2 linked regions of the Arabidopsis thaliana genome follow. The protein of the gene in region 1 interacts with the protein of each later gene in a biochemical or structural test. Each region holds a gene or a part of one and is shown in the gene's direction. Other genes may lie near its edges.

Evidence for each region.
Region 2: the proteins of ALY2 (region 1) and SNL1 form a complex in vitro, tested with the Arabidopsis thaliana proteins (one study listed by BioGRID).

What each region holds. Positions count from the first base shown.
Region 1 is NC_003074.8:1,537,811-1,545,539, forward strand, and holds the start of ALY2 (ALWAYS EARLY 2), read left to right. Parts: upstream 1-1,716; 5' UTR 1,717-1,765; intron 1,766-1,771; exon of another isoform or gene 1,772-1,953; intron 1,954-2,161; 5' UTR 2,162-2,227; intron 2,228-2,739; 5' UTR 2,740-2,751; coding exon 2,752-2,850; exon of another isoform or gene 2,851-2,936; coding exon 2,937-3,035; intron 3,036-3,114; coding exon 3,115-3,180; intron 3,181-3,310; coding exon 3,311-3,388; intron 3,389-3,655; coding exon 3,656-3,830; intron 3,831-4,050; coding exon 4,051-4,310; intron 4,311-4,415; coding exon 4,416-4,764; intron 4,765-4,982; coding exon 4,983-5,051; intron 5,052-5,221; coding exon 5,222-5,487; intron 5,488-5,569; coding exon 5,570-5,626; intron 5,627-5,841; coding exon 5,842-6,168; intron 6,169-6,244; coding exon 6,245-6,423; intron 6,424-6,500; coding exon 6,501-6,777; intron 6,778-6,866; coding exon 6,867-7,055; intron 7,056-7,164; coding exon 7,165-7,317; exon of another isoform or gene 7,318-7,473; coding exon 7,474-7,551; intron 7,552-7,628; and 1 more. Other genes in the region: RLP31 (receptor like protein 31), read right to left, coding at 1-906.
Region 2 is NC_003074.8:104,662-112,307, forward strand, and holds the start of SNL1 (SIN3-like 1), read left to right. Parts: upstream 1-1,632; 5' UTR 1,633-1,634; coding exon of another isoform or gene 1,635-1,775; 5' UTR 1,776-2,068; coding exon 2,069-2,145; intron 2,146-2,298; coding exon 2,299-2,490; intron 2,491-2,577; coding exon 2,578-2,761; intron 2,762-2,851; coding exon 2,852-2,950; intron 2,951-3,019; coding exon 3,020-3,187; intron 3,188-3,276; coding exon 3,277-3,553; intron 3,554-3,742; coding exon 3,743-3,879; intron 3,880-3,958; coding exon 3,959-4,037; intron 4,038-4,119; coding exon 4,120-4,155; intron 4,156-4,252; coding exon 4,253-4,446; intron 4,447-4,520; coding exon 4,521-4,675; intron 4,676-4,748; coding exon 4,749-4,876; intron 4,877-4,997; coding exon 4,998-5,252; intron 5,253-5,397; coding exon 5,398-6,090; intron 6,091-6,170; coding exon 6,171-6,259; intron 6,260-6,488; coding exon 6,489-7,067; intron 7,068-7,132; coding exon 7,133-7,233; intron 7,234-7,324; coding exon 7,325-7,463; intron 7,464-7,556; and 1 more. Other genes in the region: AT3G01319 (uncharacterized protein), read right to left, coding at 1,635-1,775. UniProt on the Arabidopsis thaliana protein: Acts as a transcriptional repressor. A histone deacetylase (HDAC) activity is required for transcription repression. May play a role in telomere stability.

The sequences.
Region 1 (7,729 bases):
GAGATATTGGGATAGAGTATCAGGGATTGGGCCATCAAATTTGTTTTGAGAAAGAAATAGATATTGAAGCCTAGTAGATGGTGAATACATATTCCTAAACTCTATAGGTCCCTTGAACATGTTTCCCTCTAAATTAGCCCAACGTAATGAAGGAATTGTGAACAAAGATTTAGGCAAAGTCCCGGAAAATGAGTTTTCACCAACATTAAAATAGTCCAAGTTTTGGAATCCACTCATGTCAAGTGGGAGCATGGATTCGAAGGAATTATTATAGAGGTTGACAACGAGCAGTTTTGTTAAATTGGAGAATGTAACAGGAATATTGCCACTGAATTTGTTGTGTGAAAAGATCAAGTATTCTAGTTGGGTTAGGTTTCCTATTGAAGCTGGAAGTTGACCTACTAACTTATTATCCCAAAGGTCAAGAATTGTGAGTCGAGAAAGGTTTCCTATAGAAGGTGGAACTTGACCAACTAAATAATTATACGAAAGGTCAAGAAGTGTGAGACGAAAAAGGTTTCCTAATGAAGAAGGAATATCTCCATAGAGACTACAATTACTAAGGGTTAAGTTATGAAGATGTTGAAGTTTGAAAAGACCACTATTTGGTTTCAATGAGTTATTAAGAGGAACATGACTAAGGTTAAGTGAAATCACCTCGCTAGATATAGCATCGCACGTGACACCCTCCCAAGAACAACAATCAATGCTCTTGTTCCATGAACTTAACGATACATCATAAGGAATTTGGTTGGATTCATTTACCCGCGGAAACTCGTGTTTGAACTCCAGAAGAGCATTCCTTTGGTCATGGCGGCAATGGCGAAGCGTAGGAGAAGCAAGAGTGTGTAGAAAGAATGAAACCATGAAGAAAAAACAGAAGCAAGATTGGCTTGGAATCATCATTACTTCTTTTTTTTTTTGTTAGGAGTTTGTGTGGTAGTTTATAGGTTATCCTGATATGGCTTCTTTGGCTCTGTTCAAAAAGCAAAAAAACGAAACTCAGTTGCTTAATTTGACTTGCGCAAGTCTTTCCAATGCTCTCTTTGACTAATGATTTGGCCTCTTGCCATAATATCCATCACAAAATTGAAAACTCTCTTCTTCGTTATTAATGTCAAGTTACTTTGGGTTTCTATAGGTCATGAGTTTGTATTTGGGCTTTTTATTTGGGCCAGATAGAATCAGATGTAACCAAGTCTATTTAATCCGCTGTCGTTTTTAAATAGTTTATCTATTTTTTTTTTATAAGAAAAAACAAAAATGATTAACCCTATCTAAAGTTGTTAAAACCAAATGTTTTAGCAAATCTAACCAAATATTTTTTTCTTTGGGAAGCTCTAACCAAAAATGATTATCCTTGGATAATTACTCAATTAGTAAGATCTTCAAGAAACTGATTTCCCCCATTATTATTTTATTTATATTTTTCGGTTTATAAAACTCCAGTAATTTCAAATATAATCCTCTGCTACCGATACCAGAATCCACACAAGTGAAACTAAAACAATCCAACGATGTAAACAACCTCACAATCCACGTGGACGTTCAAGATCACACATGCACTAGCTTCAGATATTAAGAGTGAAACAAAATAAAAGGAAGAAATAAATCGAAAAAATGGAAAAAAGTGACAAATCTGGAAAGCTGATTGGCTGAAGTCGTCCATGTATTCAAGTTTCGCGGCAACACCTCTCTTCTCATTTTTCTCATTCCCTAATTCTTCTATATCTCTCTCTCTTTCTCTCACTTCCTTTTTTTTTTTGTTTTTAAACAAATAATAATCTTTCTTTCTTCTTCCTTAATTTGCCTTCTCTCTCTCTAAAACCCTTGTTTCAAATATTTTCTCATCGATCTCTTTTTGAAACTAAAGGCTCGAGCTTTCTCTATCTCTCTTTCGAACCCACCGGTGGTTCGGGTATCTCTCTATTCACTCTTCAAGTCACCTAATTGGTTAGTGGATCTGCTTCGATTAGGGTTTTTAAAAGGCTTTTCCTTTTTCCGTTTCAAATTTTTTCTTCTTTCGACTCTCAAAATTTTCCCGGATTTTTTTTTTGGATTCTTTAACACTTTCTGTGTTAGCTCTTTTTCTTTTGACTCGAGTTCCGTTTTTTCTCAGCTGAGGTTTAGTGGGTATTTTTGGAAGCTCACTCGATTGAAGTTTTTTTTTTTTTTTTGAGGAATCAGTTTCAGATTTGTAGAATCTGCGTTTTATTTATATTTATAGGTTAGCGATTGAAGTTTCGAATTCGATTTTGTTTTACTATCTGAAATTTAAACAATTTTCTCAACACATTTTCTCAAATTTTGTCAAAGCTCCTGACTTTTGTGGATGATTTTCGTGTTTCTTCACTGTGTGTAATTGATTCCTTAATTTGGTGTGTTTTTTAAAATACCCAAATTCTGATTTTCGTTAATATTTCCTCTCATCTCGATTACTGCAGCTATTTATCTTCCCCAACACTGCTTTTTACTGATCCAAGAATTGGTTCTACTCTTTTGTTAAAAAACGTAGAGTTTTGATTTTTCTTAGCTCTAATCCCTAAACCCTAAACCCTAAAAACGTCTTGATTTTTCCCCTGGTGAAATGTTGAAATTCGTAGTTTGTACATGTCTTAGAGGAAGCCAAATTTGCTTATCGACTTAGTGTCGTATCTTGTCCGTATCAGTTTAAAGTGTGTCTTTTGTCACAATTGCATTTTTTGGTTTCTAACTATATATTTGAATATACTTGTGCAGAGAAACGTGCAAATGGCACCAGTTAGGAAGTCGAGGAGTGTGAACAAGCGTTTCACCAATGAAACTTCCCCAAGAAAAGATGCTGGGAAATCGAAAAAAAATAAGCTACGTGTGAGTAAATTGGTCTTCATTTCTTGAATGTTGAATGAGATGTTACTCTGATGTATTTATTCTGTGCTTTATTTTTCCTATCATAGAAGAAGAAATTGTCTGACAAGCTGGGACCTCAGTGGACCAGATTAGAACTTGAGCGTTTCTATGATGCTTACCGCAAGCACGGACAAGAGTGGAGAAGGGTAAATAACTGTTTCACTCACATATGTTTATGTGAGTTTCAGTGGCAATCAGAGTTCTTAAAGACTGTTTTTTGTATAGGTGGCTGCTGCAATTCGGAATAGCAGGTCTGTTGACATGGTGGAAGCTCTATTTAATATGAATCGGGTATGAGTAAGGACATGCTATGTTTCAGTTTTAGTTAGTATCGATGTGGCAAGTTTCTTTTCCAAGCTTTAGTTTAAATGTTGTAAAACCTACATAACTTTGCATTCACAAGATATGCTTCTTCTTCCAGGCGTATTTATCTCTCCCCGAGGGAACTGCCTCTGTAGCTGGCCTTATTGCGATGATGACAGATCATTACAGTGTCATGGTGAGAAATCTATTTTATTAAGGCTGCCACACAAAGGATATTATGTGAAGTGACCTGCCAGTAGATGAGAAAATGAAATTTCTTGGTTGAAAATGTGGGTGGTTGGTGAAAAACCTTTCATTGTTAACGTGAGTAGACAGTAACACCAATGACATTGAAAACTTTGAGTTTTGTGTACCCTATCTGGCCTATCTGTTGGGCCAGTTTGTATGTTTGATAAAGTTATGTGGACCGATTTGTAACTCATTCATATGATATTTCTTCTAGGAAGGGAGTGGCAGTGAAGGAGAAGGCCATGATGCTTCAGAAGTACCAAGGAAACAACAAAAGCGCAAACGTGCTAAACCTCAACGTAGCGATTCTCCAGAGGAAGTGGATATACAACAGTCAATTGGTTCACCAGATGGATGCCTCACGTTTTTGAAGCAAGCACGAGCTAATGGTAAAGTGCTACATTGTGTTAACTCAGTTTTCTAATTTTTATTTTCGTCTGAAGAAGCTAAATCAAATGATTACTCTATGATTTAAGCAGGTTAGGAAGTTGATTACTTGTTCTGCATTTGTTATTGACTTTGTATAGTCCAGGAATAGATATCCATCTGTCTAGTACCTGTAAACCAATTCGTTCAAGATCGTGTAACTTTATTTCTTAGTTCATGTAGGAACTCAGCGACATGCCACTGGAAAACGTACACCACGGGTTCCTGTACAAACTTCATTTATGAGGGATGATAGAGAAGGCTCTACTCCACCAAATAAAAGAGCCAGGAAGCAATTCGATGCCAATGATGATGTAGCACATTTTTTAGCGTTAGCATTAACAGATGCATCGAGAAGGGGAGGGTCTCCAAAAGTTTCTGAATCACCAAATAGAAGAACAGAACTTAGCGATAGCTCACCGATAAAGAGCTGGGGGAAAATGGTATCTCTCAGCTTGACAAAATTTTAAGCGGTTATCTTTTTGATTTCTTTTCTGTGTGAGTTTGCTTCACTGAAAAACACTATTTAACTTTGTGCTTCTGACTAGTCGCGAACCAGAAAATCTCAGTCTAAGCACTGTGGCAGCTCCATTTTCGAGGAGTGGATGGAAAGTAGCCGAGAAAGGAAACTTGACTCTGATAAAGATACTACCTTGTTGATGGATATGGAAAGGGCTGGCGAAATGGAGGCTCCGCGGAAGGGGAAAAGAGTCTACAAGAAAAGAGTGAAAGTCGAAGAAGCAGAATGTAATGATTCTGATGACAATGGAGAAGCATGCAGTGCCACACAAGGGCTCAGAAGTAAATCACAAAGACGAAAGGCTGCTATTGAAGCCTCAAGAGAGAAATACTCACCGCGCAGCCCAAAGAAAAGAGATGACAAACATACTTCCGGAGGTAAAAACTAATGTAATTTGAAGCCTGATTTTAATTTCAATGTTACCCCTTTCTGTAAGGAAAGTTAGAGATATTTAACATATTTTCGTTTGCAAGCTCTACTGTTGTTATATTTGATTATTTATCTTTTCTGCATTGTCCATTCAAACTAACTATCTTCATATTCTGCTGAAAACTTATGCGGATCTGAAACTTATTGCCAGTCTTTTCCTGTGTAGCTTTTGATGCCCTGCAAGCATTGGCCGAATTGTCAGCTTCAATGCTTCCAGCAAATTTGATGGAGTCAGGTGAGTTTTGTGTGGTTTTGCTTGTAACTTCAATATACCTGAAACTTATGTTTTTTTTTTCTAGATATTCTCATTATATAGATTGGGTTAATTCTGCAGTGTTCACTGTTCGCATTAGGGCCTTTACCTGTCTGTATTTGTTAAATTTAACTAAATTGCATTGGGTCCAGAATTATCTGCTCAGTTGAAGGAAGAAAGAACAGAATACGACATGGACGAGAAATCTAGCACACCAGAAGCTACTTCCACAAGCAGTCATGGGGAAAAAGCAAATGTAGAGCCAGATGATAGTCTCCTTCATGCAATTTCTTCTGTTGAGAATGCTAACAAGAGAAAGTCAAAACCTTCAAGGCTGGTATCCACTGATTGTGATGATGTTCCCACAGGGAAGCTACAACCACAAACTAGTGGCAGTTTAAGAAAACGTAAACCAAAGGTTAGCAAGATAGTTCTCTTAATCTGTGCTCTTTCTTCTAGGCATCTTTTAGCTGTAAATGTTAATTGTGCTCTATTTTCAGGTACTAGGGGATGAAGCTCCAGCAGAGTTTAGTCAGAACAAATCCATAAACAAGAAGGTAGTCTGTGTGTATGTTGAATTAGTTGAAACCCGTTGCAAGTCCTATATTGCTTCCTTGTACATAAATTTTTTGACCTTAGTTGAACTCCGTGATCTCTGTTTTCTATCCTTTGAAACAAGTTCGAGATCTTTATTAAAAATGCATATTGAGTATTCAAATTTGTGATTCTGAAGAAAACATTACCTCATATGATTTGGTTTTTTATGTTGCAGGAATTGCCTCAAGATGAGAATAATATGAAGTCTTTGGTTAAAACAAAACGCGCTGGTCAAGTTCCGGCTCAGTCAAAACAGATGAAAACTGTTAAGGCGTTGGAGGAATCTGCTATAACAAGTGATAAGAAAAGACCTGGGATGGATATAGTAGCGTCACCTAAACAAGTTTCTGACTCGGGTCCAACCAGTTTATCGCAGAAACCTCCAAACAGGCGAAAGAAGAGTCTGCAGAAAAGCTTACAAGAAAAGGCTAAATCTTCTGAAACCACTCATAAAGCTGCACGTAGTTCCAGATCTCTTTCAGAACAAGAGTTGTTGTTAAAGGTGGAGCCTCTAACTTCACTTCTCCTACGCACATCAGTATCTTGTACATCTATATATTTGTTTATTCCAATTTCAGGATAAGCTTGCTACTTCTCTGTCGTTTCCCTTTGCACGTCGAAGGTGCATATTTGAATGGTTTTATAGTGCTATCGACCATCCCTGGTTTTCAAAGATGGAGTTTGTCGATTACCTAAATCACGTGGGGCTTGGTCACATTCCAAGACTTACTCGTCTTGAATGGAGCGTCATTAAAAGGTTTGTTCAAGTTATGTTATTGGATACTTCCAGAGAATATAGGTAGATTATAAAAGGTTTCTTTCGTTTTTTTGCAGTTCTCTTGGTAGACCACGAAGATTCTCTGAGAGATTTTTACATGAAGAGCGGGAGAAACTTAAACAGTACCGCGAATCTGTGCGAAAGCATTATACAGAGCTTCGAACGGGTGCTAGGGAGGGGCTTCCTACAGATTTGGCTCGGCCATTAGCAGTTGGGAACAGAGTCATTGCCATCCATCCCAAAACACGGGAGATTCATGATGGAAAAATTCTCACTGTTGATCATAACAAATGCAATGTTCTCTTCGATGACTTGGGCGTTGAGTTGGTTATGGTAGTTCAAATACAATACCAGTTCCATATACACAATGATTTATTGGTAAAATAAGGTCTCAGTTGTTTGATCATCTCCTTTTGTGACAGGACATTGATTGCATGCCTTTAAATCCACTGGAATACATGCCAGAGGGTCTAAGGAGGCAAATTGATAAGTGCTTGTCTATGAAGAAAGAAGCACAGCTAAGCGGGAATACAAACCTTGGTGTGTCTGTGCTATTCCCTCCTTGCGGACTTGAAAATGTCAGCTTTTCCATGAATCCTCCTCTGAATCAGGTAGGGAAAGATGGAAGTTTGACTACTTCTGTCAAAGCCTGTAAACCTTCCTAGATCCTCCTGTGCATGTTCATGTAAATTTTATGCCTAATTCATAAATTCTCTACAGGGTGATATGATTGCTCCCATTCTGCATGGTAAAGTATCAAGCAACACTAGTAGTCCACGGCAGACTAATCATTCATATATCACAACTTATAACAAAGCAAAAGAAGCTGAGATTCAACGGGCACAAGCGCTACAGCATGCTTTAGATGAAAAGGTAATGGATTACTGATATTCTATTTTTCATATCGGTACATTTGTTCAAATGTTTTGGAAATCGAATAGGATCATAATAAATGGACCTTTGAGTGCCCACGTAATTCATTCCTTCTGATTAATCTTGAATACACTTATTCTTGTGCTGTGTGACAAGGAAATGGAGCCAGAGATGCTAGAAATTGTCAAGGGTTCAAAAACAAGAGCGCAAGCAATGGTGGATGCAGCTATAAAGGTATCGATTCATCCACTTTTCTAGATTCTCGAACATACATATGTTTTGCTAAGTTATGGTCACTCTACGGTTTCTAGGCTGCATCATCTGTGAAGGAAGGGGAAGATGTGAACACAATGATCCAAGAAGCCTTAGAGTTGGTTGGCAAAAATCAGCTATTACGCAGCTCTATGGTCAA
Region 2 (7,646 bases), 1.4 Mb from region 1:
GAGTCTTTTATAATTCGAATCTTCTGCTCAGATATATGAATTTATTCTCATAGATTACAAGAATCTCTGAAGTCTGACATGTGAATTTCTCATAAAATCATCACCGCAGAAGAAGAAATTATCCAAAACGAAATTTGAAGGAAAATACTAAAAAATCGAAAGAAAAGAAGAGAGATCAGAGTTTGGTTAAGAATTTTTTCGGTCACGGTTAATCTGAAACACGGACCAATTTGTTGATCATCATATCTCTCGTTTCAAACAAAACAATCAAAACAGAAGAAAATCAAATCGAAAAAGATCTAGTTGAAAACGATTAAGATCATCAGAGACTTAAATACTAATAATCACAAAGATTACTCCATCATATTGTTGCAGTATTACCTCATCACCTGATCTCAATTTTGCATTATCTATACGGACCAATACATCATAACTCGAAAACCAAAGATCTAAAGAAAACTAAACTGAAGATAAAATACGAACTTGAACAGAGAACCCTAAACTGACTTGATAAGAGCTTGATGTCTGTCAAAGTCATGTGTGGTTTGTATATAAAGGTCCCCAATGGCGGCGATTCTTAGGTTTCTCGAGGAAAACCCTAACGCTTATGGGTCGTATATGAGCTTCATAAGGCCCATTATAATAAACCTCTTTTGACCCATAAAAACCCCAAACCAATACTCAATTAGCTTATATGGATGGGCTTGACTGAAAATTTACAACTTCTCATTTTTGGTTTGATTCAAGAAAAAACAAAATATTAATTTTAAAAAAAAATATGTACTTGGAACAAAATAATTTGTAAGAAAATCTACATCTATTTAAGGCTTGAAGTCATTGGATCCTATTTTAATGGAAGACAAGATCAAAATTTATATCCTTTTTTTGGGGAGTAGATATAAACTTTTAAGCTTAATTTAGCATGTTTTGTAGTAAATCCAAAACTGGATAAAATCTAATTTCAAACTCAACTAATTCTGTTCATTTTATCTTTAAACAAGTTCAAACACTTGAAACAATAGCTTCATACATACGCAAAAGAAACAAACACACAACAAAATTGATAGAATAAAATAAGTTTGGTATTAAAGAAGATATAATCGTAACAAGATTCAAAACTTAAGTAATGACATCGCTACAAAGATCAGCTGTTTCGTTCCGACGTCAAGGTTCTTCGGGTCGTATTTGGAGTGATCAATTCATCTTAGATCAAAAAAATGGAGCAATTCTTCAAAATCATCTAGAACAAACCGGAAGAAATAGTAATGATCTTGAAGATAAAAATCCATCACAGAAATCAAGTTCTTCGTCATCTTCTTCATCACCACCTCCATACTTTTCTGAAATACGTAGAGGACCAGACATCTCATCTTCTACACGAAACAAACTCGCTTGTGGTTTATCATCACTTTTCCGACAATGTATCGGTTCTTCGGCTCGTGCTTAATTTTGTTCAATGCTTGACGCAAATCTGTACATATATTTTCTTGTTATATGAAAAATTCATCACAATTTTTTCCGACCAAACAGAGTTCTTGATAAATGGGCCTATTATTTTAAAAAGCCCAATAGATATTTGAGTGTCCGGCCCAAATTGAAGTAGAATAAAAGATAAGTTACCAATTTACCAGTAGTTAGCAGCAAACACACAGAGAAAGTGAAACATCGAAGAGACCCCAGAATGCAAAATCTCTCTCCGCCTTTTTCTCCTTCCTTATTCGAAAATTCTCAGCGTCTTTGTTGCAAACTCCTCTGAAATTCTCCGTCTTCTTCATTCGTTTTCGACTCTGCGTTCTACTACTTCTCGTCTCCTATCAGTATCATCGCAATTCATATTCAGTCTAGTGTGTTAAACCGGAGAATTTGGAGTCTCGCCGGAATTTTCCTCTGTCTATGTATGATTGCCGGTGATCAAAGCGCTTCTTAACGATTCTGTTCTCCTTTGAGAGATCTGAGTATCTGATTTCATCTACTACATATGTTTTCTCGAGAGTGATAGAAAGTAGGTCTCATACATATTTTTCCTCTGGAGGGAATTTTGATCCTCTGCTTCGTTAATTAACTTGTGATGAAGCGGATAAGAGATGATGTATATGCCTCTGGGTCTCAATTTAGACGTCCTCTTGGTTCTTCTCGAGGCCAATTGTGAGTTTCTCTAAATTCACCCTTCAAATTTCGGTTTTGATCTTGGTTCTGTTTTGTGGCGATTAGGTTTTCTATAATTCTGCATGGAGAGTGACAAATATTTGTTATGAATTGAGTAGTTTTAAGTAATCGATTAGAGATGATTTGGTGCAGATGTGGACAATCTCCGGTCCACGGCAGTGGTGACACCGAAGAAGAAGAAGAAGGAGGGAGCCGGAGAGTCTCTCAGAAATTGACAACCAATGATGCGTTGTCGTACCTGAGGGAAGTAAAAGAGATGTTTCAAGATCAACGCGAGAAATATGACAGGTTCCTCGAGGTTATGAAAGATTTTAAGGCTCAAAGGTTAGCTCTTTCACTCTCTATCGACTTCAAAGTTCAAGTAAGTTTTAGTAGGCGGCATTGTATTAATTCTTCGTCTTGCATTTTCAGAACCGACACAGGCGGTGTGATCGCAAGAGTTAAGGAATTGTTTAAGGGACATAATAATTTGATTTATGGATTCAACACCTTTTTGCCTAAGGGATATGAAATTACGCTTATTGAGGAAGACGACGCTCTGCCAAAGAAGACTGTTGAATTCGAACAAGCCATCAATTTTGTGAATAAAATTAAGGTGCTGTCGAAATCTTGGTCTTATATTTCTCTTTTGAAGTGCGCTTACATCTTGTGTCTCAATGTACAAGTTTCTTTTTTCTCACTGCAGATGCGATTCAAGCACGATGAACATGTCTATAAATCTTTCTTGGAAATCTTGAATATGTACCGAAAGGAGAACAAGGAAATTAAAGAGGTGTACAACGAGGTAATATACTTCATCTCACCTGTAATGCCACTCCAAACTTTTTCTAACCTTCGAATATCTATGCTCCAGGTATCTATTCTTTTTCAAGGCCACTTGGATTTGCTTGAACAGTTTACTAGGTTTTTGCCAGCGTCTTTGCCATCTCATTCAGCAGCGCAGCATAGCCGGAGTCAGGCTCAACAGTACAGCGACCGAGGATCAGACCCTCCTCTACTTCATCAAATGCAAGTGGAAAAGGTTCGTTTGATCTTTGTTTCATATTTTTCCTTGTTCTATTTTTTGCCACGTATCTCAATTTTGTTCCCGCTACAACTTTTTATCACCAGGAACGCCGACGAGAAAGGGCTGTTGCTCTCCGCGGTGATTATAGTGTTGAACGTTATGACCTTAATGATGATAAAACGATGGTGAAGATTCAAAGAGAGCAGCGGAAGCGCCTTGATAAGGAGAACAGGGCAAGGAGAGGCCGTGATTTGGACGATAGAGAAGCAGGTCAAGATAACCTACACCATTTTCCAGAGAAAAGAAAGTCGTCCAGAAGAGCTGAAGCTCTTGAAGCATATTCTGGTTCTGCTTCACATTCTGAGAAAGACAATTTGAAAAGTAAGCTAACTCCTGTGTCAAACATTTTTTTATTTGCTTGGTACCTTTTCTATTTTTTAAGAGTCCCAAACATTGGACACCTTAATTCTTTCTCTTTGAGAGAGAATTTATTTTCCAATTTTGGTTGCATGGTGATCTTTAAGGTGCGAAGATCTGCTTCTGTTTTCTAAGATGTTTACTTTGTGTTAGGTATGTACAAACAAGCATTCGTTTTCTGTGAGAAAGTCAAGGATAGACTATGCAGCCAAGATGATTATCAGACATTCTTGAAGTGCCTCAATATTTTTAGCAATGGAATAATCCAAAGGAAGGATCTGCAAAACTTGGTATTGCAATTTGTGATCAGGGGTTGATCTTGTGGTAACGTTCAGGAAGTTGTATTAAATCCCATTCATTTTCTTTCAGGTTTCTGATCTTCTTGGGAAATTTCCTGATCTGATGGATGAGTTCAACCAGTTCTTCGAGCGGTGTGAGAGTATTACTGGTACTGAAATACGTATTGTTATTTTAATAGTTATTACATATCAGCAATCTTCTTCTTTCTGACGGTCATCCTCTTTTTGTAGATGGATTTCAGCGTCTTGCTGGTGTTATGAGCAAAAGTATGCTGCTATTTTAAACTTCCCAGCTGTGAATAATATTGTCTCTTTCCCTCCTACTTTGTAAAATCTTTACTGACATTGCTGGTACACTTGGCAGAATTATTTAGCAGCGAAGAACAGTTATCCAGGCCAATGAAGGTGGAAGAGAAAGAAAGTGAACACAAGCCTGAACTCGAGGCTGTGAAGGAAACTGAGCAATGCAAGAAGGAGTACATGGGAAAATCTATTCAAGAGCTCGATCTCTCTGATTGCGAGTGTTGCACTCCTAGCTACCGGCTTCTGCCTGCGGATGTAAGCTTCTATTTCCAAGTTGCATTTTGAGCATGTTCATTGGATTTTTACTTACTGTAATATTATATTTGCAGTATCCGATACCAATTGCGAGTCAGAGATCGGAGCTAGGAGCTGAGGTTTTAAATGATCATTGGGTATCTGTCACTTCCGGAAGTGAAGATTATTCTTTTAAGCACATGCGCAGAAACCAATATGAAGAGAGCTTGTTCAGATGCGAAGATGATAGGTATTTATATTGACAACATACATATTATAGTTTGAAGTAATTGGTCATTTATGTTAATTACTGCTTATAACAGATTTGAGTTGGACATGTTGCTGGAATCTGTGAGCTCTGCGGCCAGAAGTGCAGAAAGTTTGTTGAACATCATCACAGAGAAGAAAATAAGTTTTTCTGGCTCCTTCAGGATCGAAGACCATTTTACGGGTCTGTATGCTTTTTTGGGACCATTTTACAGTTCGTAGTTATATCTTCTCTCTTCCCCTATTTAGGTGTCCTCATATGTTTGGTTATTAACTTTACCATTTTCTTATTGACATATTTACAGCCCTAAATTTAAGGTGTATTGAGCGACTTTATGGCGACCATGGTCTTGACGTGATAGACATATTAAATAAGAATCCAGCCACTGCACTTCCTGTAATCCTAACTCGTTTAAAGCAGAAACAAGGTGAATGGAAGAAATGCCGTGACGATTTTGATAAGGTCTGGGCGAACGTATATGCAAAAAACCATTACAAGTCACTTGATCACCGCAGCTTCTACTTCAAGCAACAAGATTCAAAGAACTTGAGTGCAAAATGTAAGTAGACTTATAGAAGTCGTAAGAAGATTTATATTCAAGTAGTTCCTTTATCCTGTTTTATCGCTCACATACATCCGGCAGTGCTATTTTTCCTTTCACTTATTCCTTTCTCATTCTGTTTTTTTATTGCTTCGTGAACCAGCATTGTTGGCTGAAATTAAGGAGCTGAAAGAGAAGTCTCAGAATGATGATGATGTTCTGTTGTCTATTTCTGCTGGTTACAGACAACCTATAAATCCTAATCTTGAATATGAGTATTTGAACAGAGCTATTCATGAAGACATGTTCAAAGTAGTCCAGTTTTCATGTGAGGAGTTATGTTCTACAAAAGAACAGCTCAGTAAAGTTCTGAGGCTTTGGGAAAATTTCCTGGAGGCAGTGCTGGGTGTTCCTCCCAGGGCCAAGGGCACAGATCTTGTTGAAGATGTTGTAATAAACCCCAAGACTCTCGATGTGAATCACAGCACATCTCCTAACGGGGAGGCTGCTGTGAGTTCTGGAGGAGACACAGCAAGGTTGGCTTCTAGGAAACTTAAATCTGCTGCCAATGGAGATGAGAATTCTTCATCTGGGACATTCAAACATGGGATAGGTTTGTTAAATAAAGATTCGACAGGGAAAGAAAATCTTGAAGATGTTGAAATAGCTAACAGAGATGGTGTTGCCTGCTCTGCTGTGAAACCTCAGAAAGAACAAGAAACTGGAAATGAAGCCGAGAAAAGGTTTGGAAAACCTATCCCAATGGATATTAGCGAAAGAGCAGCCATCTCGAGTATATCAATCCCAAGTGGGGCAGAAAACAATCATTGTGTAGTAGGCAAGGAAGTTTTGCCAGGTGCCTTCCAGATTTAAGCTATTTAATTTTATTTGTGCTGCTTGATTATTTGTGTTGATATTTGTTACTTTACAATTAAGGTGCACATGAGATTCAAGCCAAACCAAGCGACACCCTCACTGATATTCATCATGATGTAGATAGCATTGAAACTGTTCATTCGACTCAGGTACTAGTACTACAATCAATTGCTCGTTGTACCATATTTACACCATTCAGTTGCTCGTTGTACCATATTTATATATTCGCCTAAACCCACTATTACCTGGAGGTTTCCATAGCTTAGGGATGTAAAAATTTACAGTACTACCTATGGGACCCAGGGGTGTAAAAATTTAAAATGTGTCTTATATTATAATTATGCTTTCCGGACCCTTCTGACTCTGTCATATTACTAGGGAGGTGATGTTGGCAATTCGATAGTTTTGGCAAATGGATTAAGGTCAGATTCTTCTAAAGGTACTAGGAATTCTGATGATCCCGAAGGTCCCTCCAGAAATGAGAAAGAGGAAGGTGAACTGTCACCTAATGGTGATTTTGAAGACAACTTTGGTGTTTACAAAGATCATGGGGTGAAGTCCACATCCAAACCAGAGAATTCAGCAGAGGCTGAAGTAGAGGCAGATGCTGAAGTAGAGAATGAGGACGATGCTGACGATGTTGATAGTGAAAATGCTTCCGAGGCATCTGGAACTGAATCTGGTGGCGACGTATGTTCTCAGGACGAAGATAGAGAGGAGGAGAATGGTGAGCATGATGAGATCGATGGTAAAGCTGAGAGTGAAGGAGAAGCGGAGGGAATGGATCCACATCTCTTAGAAGGAGAAAGTGAGCTGCTTCCACAGTCAGAACGTGTTCTCTTATCCGTCAGACCCCTTTCAAAGCATGTCGCAGCAGTTTTATGCGATGAGAGAACAAAAGATCTCCAAGTTTTCTATGGGAATGACGACTTTTATGTTCTTTTTAGGCTTCACCAAGTGAGTTACCTAATTATTTATTGAAATTGATTCTCTCTAGCAAAGATAACGTGGTGCATTTTCAGATCCTGTACGAGAGAATTTTGTATGCAAAAAGGAATTGCTCAGGCGGTGAACTGAAATCGAAAAACTTAAAGGATACCAATGCCGGAGATCCTTATGCGAGGTACCTTCCTTTGTACAACTTTTTATACTAGCCTATGTAGATAATCATATACATGTTGTTCCCATCAAAATCTGATCTGTGTGTTGTACAGGTTTATGAGGGTTTTGTATGGTTTGCTAGATGGATCAGCTGAAAATACCAAGTTTGAGGATGAGTGCAGAGCTATAATTGGAAACCAATCATATGTGTTATTCACGTTGGACAAACTGATTTACAGATTGGTTAAGCAGGTGTTACTCACACTAGTGGTTTAGGACAATTTTTTTTATGTTATCGACATTATGTTACCTTCCTTGTGATGTTCTAATATTATCCATCTGCAGCTTCAAGCTATTGTAGCCGATGAAATGGACAACAAGCTGCTTCAGTTGTATGAGTATGAGAAATCCCGGAAACCAGGAAGGGTTATCGAC